Astyanax mexicanus: one gene and its partners. The protein of the gene in region 3 purifies or fractionates together with the protein of the main gene of each other region. This does not show direct contact. Links are inferred from orthologs where the notes say so. Each region holds a gene or a part of one and is shown on either strand. Other genes may lie near its edges.

Region 1 (3,754 bases), on a different chromosome or scaffold from region 3:
AAGAAGAGCTAACTGGAGTACGTTTTTTCCTACTCATGAAACAATCAAGGGGCCCACGCCCATTAACCAAAGCAGGTCTACGTTGCAAGGGAAGGGAGGGTTCATCTTCTTTATTCTCTCTATCCAAAGCACTGGATTCATGGGTAGGGGGAGCAGCCGGTCCAGTTCTTGTTCTTTTCTTCTCCCTAGTCTCCTTGGGTTCTGGGTTAAGTCGTTTGAAGGGAAGACGGGCTGCCAAAGAAAAAGGCAAAAAAAAAAAAAAAAAATTAATGCTTTGGCCTTTACATTGATTCAATGTCAATCAAGTTTGAGCATTTTTAAATTACTGGGACATGCTGACCGAAGAGTATACAAAAATCTGTTTGTGAATGTTACAATACAAAAAAGGAGTGTATGAAAATACTATTTTTTATGTATTATTAATTTACCAGTATACATCCGAAGATTTGTTGATGCACTTTGGTTCAATTAGATGTAAATTTCCTGCTCAAAATTTGTTCAGATTCCACTATTAAATGTCATGCATAGGCTGGTGAGTTTTTCTAAAATTAGATTTTGAATTTGAGAGAATTATATTGCAATGTACTGAATTGTAACCTCAGTATCGTAATACATATCCTGTTAGATGTCTTCAGATTACACCTTTTTTTTCGCTCAATAAACTTTTCTATTGATTTAATGCATGTGATGGTGTGTTTTATACTTCTTTTATAAAATTACATTTAAAAAATCGAAATTGTCTTGCTACCAGTACTGCAATAAGTTGAACTGTAACCCCATTATCATAACACGTATTGTGTTCCCAGATTCTTGTCAATACACACTTATGTTATGCATGTAAATACACTGTGCATATACAAGTGGCCAATACATATTAGAGCTTAATTAAAACCAAGACAAATTACCAAATTTCTTACACAAACTAAATCATTTCATATATATATATATATATATATATATATATATATATATATATATATATATATATTACTTAAGATCAAGTCTCTTTCAGTACACATAGCTAACAGTTGAATTCTCCAGTAACATACAGAACTAGCCAGTTACCTTGCACAAGCTTCTTGGTGGCAGCACTTGCTTTGTCCACACAGTCCATACCTGCATTAAAAAAGACATTTTGAATTACCAGATTTGTATTATTGCCTCGAGCTTCAGTTCTGAATGATGCCGTTTATTTCAAATACATTTAACCTAGTTAGATATATAGCTAGCAACATCTACAAACCTGGAAAATGGAACTTAGTTTTGATTTACTTCTTTTTAAACCGTTAACAACAATGACATCCGTAGTACAAAGCAACAATATGTCAGTTTCACATCAGTTTTCACGTTAATAAACACATTTTAAGAGTTCAGACAATTTGTGAGGGTCCTTTGAGGAAACATGCCTTGACCAGAATGAACAAACTATTCAAGTAAGTTACTGAACCTCCTACAGCCCTTACTGAGACTGAACGGTTTTAATGTTTCCAAGACGAACAGGCAGACTGAGCTTAGTAACTACTAACGTCTGACTAAATGTTTGCTTTTTTCCTCTCCCGCCATTCACTGAATCCATTATGCAGCAGGCCCGGCTGTGCACTTTACTACTGAGAGCAGCCACTGCTTCTGCTAGCTGGCGCCCCTGAACTCAGAAGAGAGCAGACGTTACAGCTAACTTACATTACTTTCCCTGTGTCCTGACTGGTTTAGCCTAGCTAAAATAACTAATGTTACATTTAACTTACATAAGTCACAATTACATGTATAGTTAGCTACCTAAGCTAGTTACATCTCCTAAGAACCAAAATGGACAATATGAAAACCGCACGAAAACAAAAATAAGCGCTACCTAAGTTAGCTTAGCTTTCAAATTAATTAAGTCGGCTAAATGACATTAGCATTCGATTTGTGTAAAATGTTAAAAAGAAAGTCAGCCCTTAAGTCGTTTTTTTTATATGGCAATATACGAAGGTGAGTAAAGTCTGATAGTCGACATGTCCAAACACTTCACAACAAACTTAGCTAGTTAGTAGTTAGCTTAAATTAGCTATACTGGCTAACTGCCCAACTACAAACTATATCTATAAGCTAGGTTAGCTAACGCTAGCTGGTTTGCTAACTTGGCCAGACAGGTGAAATCTTACGGTTGGCAGAAAATAAGACTTTAAACCAGTTTAAACAAGCCTTTGGGAAACTAAAACACAGAAATAAATAAAGACACCCGAAACGACACCCCAGACTCGCACCTCTGCGTGGCGTAGAGGCCAAAGGCCCATCCGCGGAAGGGTCTTCGGCCGCAAGCATCACCACCACCATCCGTCTCCTCAACTTAGCCCCGGCTCTGGTAGCTCACACAGCCTCGCGAAGCAGCGACAGAGTCCTAAAGAAGGTTATTTAACTTCAGAATAAACGGTCCCGGGTCTCATTAACTCTGTAACAGAGAGCGGGGCGGAATACGTTACTGTAGCGCCGCTGTGCTCTTCTCTCCGCCCGGGCTTTGCTTTCCCCCTTCTGCCCGTTTCCCCGCTGTTCCCTCGCGCTTTACTCAGAATTGGCGGGAGCTCTCCGCGAGCTCCTCTCGCCGCCTCTGATTGGTCGCTGAGGCGATTCGTCACCGCGGACATAAAACTCAGCGATTGGCTCTTCCTGACAGAGCACTTTCCCTCCCTCTGGGACAGCGTTTCCCACAGTAACAGTCAAAACTCTTCATAGATGTGAACTGATTTCAAATTCATATTCGAAGTTAAGTCTGAAAATTTAATTTTACAAATTAGTATATATTTTTTACTGTGACACCAGTGACTGTATATGGTTGACACCTTTATTGAAATACTTTTTAACTGTGTAGACATTTTTTTTTAAATAGTTAATACTATTAGTCTAATAGGTTTACTAATACAAATAGTCTAATGGTTAATAATGGATTATCATGTGTGCCTATTACTATTTCTAAATGCATGTTACATTTCTCTGGATGTAAACTGCATTAAAGTGTACATAGTGTATTTTCTAAATGCATACTTTAACATTAGATTACATTACATTTGGCAGACACTTTTGTCCAAAGCGACTTTCAATAATTATGTACATTTATTAATAGAAGACAGCAGCCATACTTATGCGTACTATTTTTTTTTTTTTTTAAACTGTTTACAACTTTTTATGATTATTTGTTAATTTTGTGTAAAGTGTTTATTCCACTTTCTTCCTATGCGTACAATAAAGTGCACATTTTTGTTTTTCTGTATACATATTTTTCCTCTGCTTACTGCTTTTTAATTGTGCATATTACTTTTGGCTGTGTTCATATTAATTTTCGCTAGATGTATGTTATTTTTCTTTGGTTGCAAAGTGCTTTTTCCTGGATTCTTACTACTCACTACTTCTTTTACTATTTTCAAACACCTAGAACTTCAGTTTCTAGAATTTAATTTTTCTAAATTGGAGCTTAAATTAACACTGAGGCTCAGTTTCCCAGTCCTGGAATTCTGTGAGATGGCGTCACCCTGAACTCACACCTAACATCCATTAGCTGCAGTCCTTTGAGGCCTTGTGAAGTCCAGCAAGGTGCAAGAGCTCAGATGCTTTTCACTCCTGAGTGCTAAAGGGATTGCTGGTATTGTACATTTTATTGGGTTTACCCTTTTTAAGATGCACTTCATTATTTGTAATCACAAGACTGCTTCTCTATCCTTCAGGCCATGGCTTCTTCAGTTTCATATTTTCAGCTCACCCTCAGAACTGACTGTAAATA
Region 2 (3,754 bases), on a different chromosome or scaffold from region 3:
AAGAAGGTTCTGTGTTCTGGACTAGTGTCCATGTGTGTGGGCAGACCACATATAAAAACTGAGAGGTCTGTCTTTTTTCTTTCTTTACCTGTAGCTGTGCCAGTATGGAAGATTTCTTAGAGCTGGAGGAAAAGGAGCGTGAGCAGGATGCGCTGCAGAAGCGTTTACTCCTGGAGTAGAAGCTTCCTCTGGTGCCAGAAACACCACACTTCTCACAGACAACTGCAGACAGACACAGAAGCAGGATTAAGTAAAATCTGTCTCTTTAAAACTTTACAATATGCATCTTAATAAATAGCTTTTAATACCAAACAGAATGCAGAAAAATATAATTCAAAAATGAAACATTTCTACTGATACATGTTTGACTATCAGTTTACTCTGTACTAAAATAGTTCCTATATCTAAAGGAGAGTTTAGTTATTCAAACTTTTAGGTTTGTTTTAGCTATACCTGTTACATCATTGCGCACAAAAGAACCACGTGAACGAAATGTGGGACTAGTAACCACTCCATCAGAATGGTCCTGCTCTATGTGTTCATTCTCCTCTTCTCCATTCTCTTCCTCCAAAGCATCAGAGTCTAGATCCACAGGAGCCCCTGTGTACTCTTCCTTTAGAGAGAAAGAAACTTAAGAGCATTAATACAATAGACAGAATTTCAATTACCCTGAAGTCTTAACTTAAATTTGAATACAAATAAGTTAATATGGTTACTATTTTTATTTTATTTTTAAGCATTTATGCAGAAATGGTATATTTTATTATTACAGATCAATATATTTCAGCTATTAAAATGTTAATATGTATTAGAATGTAGTGCAAGACACTTTTGATCATGGGTTGGAAGAGATATACAGTTTATACAGCATTTGTTACTGACTGATGTCCATTACAAGGTGTTTTTAAGTTATTCATTGAGAGTTATTCATTCATTTGCTCCTCAGCTAAAACTTAGTTCAATTGTACCGTTTAATCTAGTTAGTTTAGTTTTTTTTTCCATGGACAGCCCTAATACTCACTGCTTCAGAGTCCAGGGGCTCCATTCCCATGTCGTGTTTCTTTTTCTTTGGACTGCAGGACACACAGCCCTTGCCGTGACAGTTACTGCAAGGCCGGCGGATGAAAATTGTAGGAACAGCTCCCTCATTTAGCTTCAGCCCCCTGAACCCCATGGCTTTGGCCACTGCGTTGGATCTCGGCTCAAAACAGTCCTTGCTAAAATGTTCAGAGCACAGGAAAGAGAAGCCCTTCGCATACCATTTGCTCCGTGTCTTCTGTACCTGCTTTTCCCATTTGCGGAAGCTCACAGGGTCCTTTGGAAACCTGAACATCGTGACATTGTCTTTATGGGTCTTTCCACAGCCATATGCTGCGCAGCAGTTGGGCATTTTCCCCCCTTAACTGGTATAACTGGTAGTTAGATGAAGAAGAACTATTCTGTGAAGAGTACAGCTCACAACACAGCAGGTCCTCTGAAACACACAGGATGCACAGGATGAGAGTTGATTATTACTGACAATCATGTGTCAATATACAGTATATAGAATAGCTTAATCATTGCTGTACCTTGTATTGTAGCTTAGTGTGGACCAAATAGACTTTTTACTAGAGCTGTGTATTGGCAAGTACTTGGCAATACGATATATAGCACATTACAGGAGGTACGATTCAAGATATCACAAGGTGACATATTGTGATTGTTTAAATCAAAATAATTTTTTACGTGAAAACAAAAAAAAAACATTACTGGCTATGCATCTCACACAGTGCAGCACTGCTATCTAGTGGTTGGGCTTTAAACACAACAGAAAATGAACCATCTGTGAATCTTTACATGTAAACTAATTAACAAGTAAACTACTGACAACATTACTCACCAGTTCTTAATAAATGCGAGTTCAGAGATCAATTTTTGGTGGAATAAGCCTGATTTTATTCATAGCTTTTATGCATCTTGGCATACTCTCCACCAGTCTTTCACACTGCTTTTGGGTGACCTTATGCCACTCTTGCCACACAAATTAAAGCAGTTCTGCTGGCTTGTGACCATCCAGGTTCCTATATTTGAGAGAAATGTTGTCAGTAGTTTATAGATTAAAACAGCAATGTTCATTTCACTCAAACATATAACTATAAAAAGCAAAATCAGAGAAACTGATTATTTTTAAGTGGTATCTTAATTTGTTCCAGGGCTGTATATTATAACTAATAATAAATTGATACAGTAACGTTATATCAAAACAAAATGTTGCAATACACTGAAAAATCGAGGACACAATAATAACTATAATTTACTCAATAAAAATAAAGCTGTAGTTTTATATTAATATGTACAGATTCATGTAGGTTAGCTAACCTAGTTAGCTTTTAGACACATTGACATTATGTAGTTGGTAAACTGCAGTAAGCTGTGAGTTGTGGAGCCGCTTAAACCAGATACAAACTAAAACAGCTGTACTAACATTAAATAAAGCATGGTTTTATTCTGTGAAAGGGGAACCGGGGCTGCTCTGCTATTTGTTTTATTAAACGACAGTGACTATTTTCTTTAGTCACATCATCAACACAGCTTGAAAAATTAGTTAGCTCTCTATGAATGAAGAAAATGTTAAACAGCCATACCTCAGACTCTCTCCTCCATTGGGATATAAAGTATGGATCCTAGCAGAGAACACGACATAAAAACATACCAAACATTGCATAAACAACGTGTTTCAGCCCAAAACAGACCCCGCAGCCCCACACCGCTCCTCCCAGCGCCTCTCCCGCTTCTTTGCGGATCACGGGCTGAGGGCTGAAGGCGTGCTGCTGCCCCACAGTGGAGGAAGATATTCACGCCTTACTGTTTAAAACCGCTCTGTTCACTTCTATACTCACATATCAGCTGTAACTAACACATTTATATAATGCAAACTGTAGATCTATCGTATGATTGGACAAACAACTATTTTATCTGTTTCATTATACAAACTGCTATCATATTATCATTAAATACACAAACTTCTACCCGTAGCGATATGGCGGTTCCATGGTGTAATGGTTAGCACTCTGGACTCTGAATCCAGCGATCCGAGTTCAAATCTCGGTGGAACCTGACCTTTTCCATCTAGCTATTAAATATCTCAATCTGTCTCTCATATTATTTTTGTTTTAACGTTAAATGTCCCGGTTGAGTTTTTTTTTGCAATAAAGTAAATTTAATTATTTAGTATTTAATGCATTCCTTACTTATTATGGGGTCATCATACAACTTTATTTTATTTTTTTACTTGATTAAAAAAATACTATTTTGTACTGCTCCTCTAATGCACAGTCAAAAGTGACCCGCATTCACTTTCTACCTTTTGCTGTCGGAAATATCTATATACCAATGAGAAGCTCAGATTTTTTGTCAAGCCCCGAGTTTCCCAGTTGGGGGCGTGTCAGTAACAATAAATTCATTTAACTTAATTATATAAATTGATACATTTAATAAATTGATGCAGACAGGTCGTAATGTAAACTGCGTAACACTTAAACACTTGCAAGTTGTTATTAGCTAATTAATAAAATCAATACGTGGGGAAAAAAACGTAAAAGTCTAGTATGATTTACAGATCTAATAGAATAAAAATATCACTCAGCTAATAAGGTCTTATTTACTTTATTATCTTGGAGTAGGGCAAAATAAAACTCTCGTTTTTTGTGATAACAGACCAAAAGTATTAACAAAACCTTTTCTTAATGGCGTCCATTTCCACCCCACCAAAAAA
Region 3 (3,754 bases):
GGTGGGGAAATCGGGACACCACCACAGGACAATGTACTATCTAATTGTAACACTAGAGCATTAATCAGCAGCAGTTTAGAAATATAGAGAACTGATGATAATCACAGCAGCCTTGTAACAGATCATGAGCAGAAAATGCTAATTTCCCTCCTACTTGCTCTGTTTTTAACTAGCAGCCCAAGCAGTTAGAAGTATATTTTCCTCAAAATACTGCGACTTTATTCTTTCGTACTATTATGACCTTAATCTAATAATATAACGATTGTTATTTTTTTATTTTTTATTGTTATCTTGTAACATATCACAACTTCATTGTTATATACAGGAGCTTTAAACGCTGCTTCTGATCTGTTATGCCATTGTAAAAGACTAACTTGCTATTTATCTGCCATCAATGTATAAATGTGTGTTTTAATACCTAAACTAACTAACTATAAATAAAAATATCCTGTATTTAATGGTGCATTTGTTGCACGGTTTCTGTACCCGGCGCCTCAGCTTTCCAAACGCTGGCTTTGCAGCTAGTTAACGTTAGCTTAGCTAACAACTGAAGCTAATTAGCGTTAGCTGGCTACGACGGAGAGGGCGAAAACAGAGATGGTCATTAAAGAATTAAGGCAACAAAATCTGAATTACGCATAAAATCACGAATGTATGTTCTACCTACAAAGTAGACAGAGTTTAACAGTCACACACGAGATTTTAACCACAAAACGACGATGCTTTGTGCTCGCTAGCTTGCTAACCGAGTTAACAGGCTAATGCTAACTAGCTAGGAGTAGGCCGAAGCTCATTTTAAAAAGGATTTTTCATTATTAACGTAACTTAGCTTGTAAAGGCTAATACTGAATTAAATTGTGTTAGTTAGAAATAAATATACTTAAAAATATATACTTAAAAGAAAAATTTAGCTAGACGACTACTAGACCACGTTAGCCGCCTAGTTAGCAAATGCTAACGCATCCAAATACGAGTAGGCCTGTATGTGCAACACAGCGTATTAGCTAGCTACCTTATCCAATCTTAAATTAACTTAAAATACAGTTATGTGCAGTTAATATGACTTAAATATTTACCACTACAAATGCTTAGCTACTATCCTAAAAGCCAAGTTAAACAACTAGCTAGCACGGTAATACAAGTTACGGGTTTAATTTAAAAGAGTATGCTAAACTACCCAGCTAATAGGCTAGATAGCCCTCTTAAATGTTAATGTGCTGCTGATCCACTTAAATGCCTAAGAAATTAAGGCCAAATAATTAAAGCTAGCTATAGACAATATTTTACTGCTTTATCTACAAGAATTAGACCAAGTTAAATAACCCTAATTAGGTAGATACCATCCAAATACGAGCAGGCCTGTATGTGTAACCATGCTTATTAGCTAGTTTGTGTACTACAAGAGTAAAGTTAAATATATGTGGCTATTTTTTTTTGCTATCTATGTATTAACTAACGTCATGTGATGATAACTGGGTTTAAAACTACTTGATAATAGTGTTAATAGTAAAGCTATTGAAATGTACTGGTCTTACTAAAGTTTCTAACGTAGGTAAGCAAGCTAGCTAGGCTACCAAAGCTAACCGGCTGGTTTATGGGCGGCTGATACATTTAAATGCCAGTATAAACAAAGCCAACTGGCTCATTAAACTGTATCCTTAGTTAACTTAACTGTTCAGCTAGCTAAAGAACTGGGTTAGATAACTTAGTTGGTTAACCACATCCAAATAAGAACAGGCCTGTATGTGCAACAATGCTTACTACCTAGTTAACCTAGCCACTAAAAACGGAGTCAGCCAAATATAAACATATACATTAGCTTACTAAGAATGAACTAATGTTATGTAGTGTTTAACTGACTTTACAAACACTAGTTTAGTCGTACAGCGTCATTTTAAAACAATATTTAGCTATAACTTAAATGAATCTAGCTAAATCTAGCTAAAGTTACTAGTCTCAAACCAAGCTAAGTACTTAGCTAGCCGGCTAGTTCATAGTTCATGCATTTAAACGCAGATATAACCAAAATAACGTAGTTAACCTACTAACTAAGTAACACAGTGCTAATATCGTTAAAACGCTGGTTATTACCGCGTTAAAACGCCGCAGTTAGTTAACGCTAAAAACACTGAAAGCGCGCGGCCCCCCTGCAGCGGGAAAACGCCGCGTGTGCAGCGTGCGCGCGCGCGAAAAAACAAGCGAACAAAAGCGCACGAGCCGGCTAGCGAACGAACCAGAGCGCAAACCGATCAATAATCGACGCTAAAGCGGACGCACCGCGCGCTAACGCTCGTGCACGGCGCGTACCGACGGACTTACTTTGACTTTGTGCAGAAACCGGTAAAGACAGAGCGAGCAGGAGGCTGCAGGACGGTGGACTTCTTCAGCAGGGCTTCACCTGGCAGCGCGCCAACCAGCAGCTCCTCTAAGCGGCTGCAGAAGAAACATGTGCGTCAAGCCACGCCCCCTCAGCGCAGCCACGCCCCTACGTGCTCACACACAGCCAATGGCTTCCTGCGAAGGGGTAAAAGAGGCGTGGCGTGGGATTTAAACTCCCTGGGTTTTTCTCTTGGTAAGTACAGTGTTGCCAACTTAGCGACTTTGTCGCTATATTTAGCGACTTTTCAGACCCTCTAGCGACTTTTTTTGTAAAAAAAAAAAAGCGACTAGCGACAAATCTAGCGAGTTTTTGTGGTGTTATTGGAGACTTTTGGCGACTCTGAGATGAACACGCGCTCTTCAGTTCCTGTCCTCCGCGCTGCAGCGGGCGCTGCCGGGAGCCCCGCCCCACACCACTCACAGTGCAGACCCACACACACACACCGCTCCACGAACACACTGTAAATGAATCGCGCGTGCCCACAGCCGCCGCTGACTGACCCCGCTCTGTATTTACAGAGCAGAAGTATAAATATAACTGTGTCTTCAGTGTGACACGAACAGAAATCCCTTAATTTAACTCACACTGTCTCAGTCATTCACTCACCTCATTCACCACACAGCCTGTCACTCACCTCCTCCACAGTTACACTCTTTATAAAAAGCTAAACATCTATTGAACCATTGAACAATTTGTCTATGATAGGTTTAAAAATAAAGGAAACTTAAGAAAACGTAAAAAAATACAAATAAAATAAAACAAAGCTAAATACAAAGCTAAAAAAAAATAATAAATAAAACAAAGCTAAATATCTATTGAACTATTGAACAATTTGTCTATGATATATTTAAAAATAAAGAAAACTTAAGAAAATGTAAAAAAAATAAAAAATAAAAATAAAACAAACAAACTAAAAAAAAAGTAAAAAAAACATAGAATAACAGTTCCGGTTGCTCTTTTAATAACATTTAAGAACATGGCAAAAAACTAATTTATGTAATTCACGTAAAAATGAAGTTAATGTAAAAAAAAGTGACGTCCTATTTAAAAAAACAACAGAAGTTGTTCCTTTATAACATTTCTAACACATTTATGGTGTTTTTACTCACTTTTTTCTCTCCCACAACCCTAATACTTTACAGCTTCAAAAACATGTATTATGCAAATTAGGCGATGACGTCATTTAGCGACTTCTAGCGACTTTTAGGACAGCCAATAGCTACTTTCCTTACTGAGGAGTTGGCAACACTGGGTAAGTAGTGCTGCGACCAAAAGTGTGAAAAGTATTTCCATACACATGCATTACTCAGGTAGAGTAAAAGGTATATATACTAGTGTTTAAAATACTTCTGTAGAAGTTGAAGTATCAACTCA

Evidence for each region.
Region 1: the proteins of cbx3a (region 3) and chaf1a purify together in Homo sapiens (affinity purification with mass spectrometry; 5 studies listed by BioGRID and IntAct, with this or other methods). This does not show direct contact. The link is inferred for Astyanax mexicanus from reciprocal best matches to the Homo sapiens genes CBX3 and CHAF1A.
Region 2: the proteins of cbx3a (region 3) and l3mbtl2 purify together in Homo sapiens (affinity purification with mass spectrometry; 5 studies listed by BioGRID and IntAct, with this or other methods). This does not show direct contact. The link is inferred for Astyanax mexicanus from reciprocal best matches to the Homo sapiens genes CBX3 and L3MBTL2.

The regions. Positions count from the first base shown.
Region 1 is NC_064423.1:23,636,592-23,640,345, forward strand, and holds the start of chaf1a (chromatin assembly factor 1 subunit A), read right to left. Parts: upstream 2,548-3,754; 5' UTR 2,317-2,547; coding exon 2,247-2,316; intron 1,117-2,246; coding exon 1,066-1,116; intron 232-1,065; coding exon 1-231. UniProt on the Homo sapiens protein: Acts as a component of the histone chaperone complex chromatin assembly factor 1 (CAF-1), which assembles histone octamers onto DNA during replication and repair.
Region 2 is NC_064422.1:28,444,674-28,448,427, forward strand, and holds the start of l3mbtl2 (lethal(3)malignant brain tumor-like protein 2), read right to left. Parts: upstream 2,802-3,754; 5' UTR 2,625-2,801; intron 2,061-2,624; 5' UTR 1,880-2,060; intron 1,475-1,879; 5' UTR 1,391-1,474; coding exon 1,022-1,390; intron 614-1,021; coding exon 454-613; intron 223-453; coding exon 89-222; intron 1-88. UniProt on the Homo sapiens protein: Putative Polycomb group (PcG) protein. PcG proteins maintain the transcriptionally repressive state of genes, probably via a modification of chromatin, rendering it heritably changed in its expressibility.
Region 3 is NC_064410.1:62,359,580-62,363,333, reverse strand, and holds the start of cbx3a (chromobox protein homolog 3a), read right to left. Parts: upstream 2,468-3,754; 5' UTR 2,320-2,467; intron 1-2,319.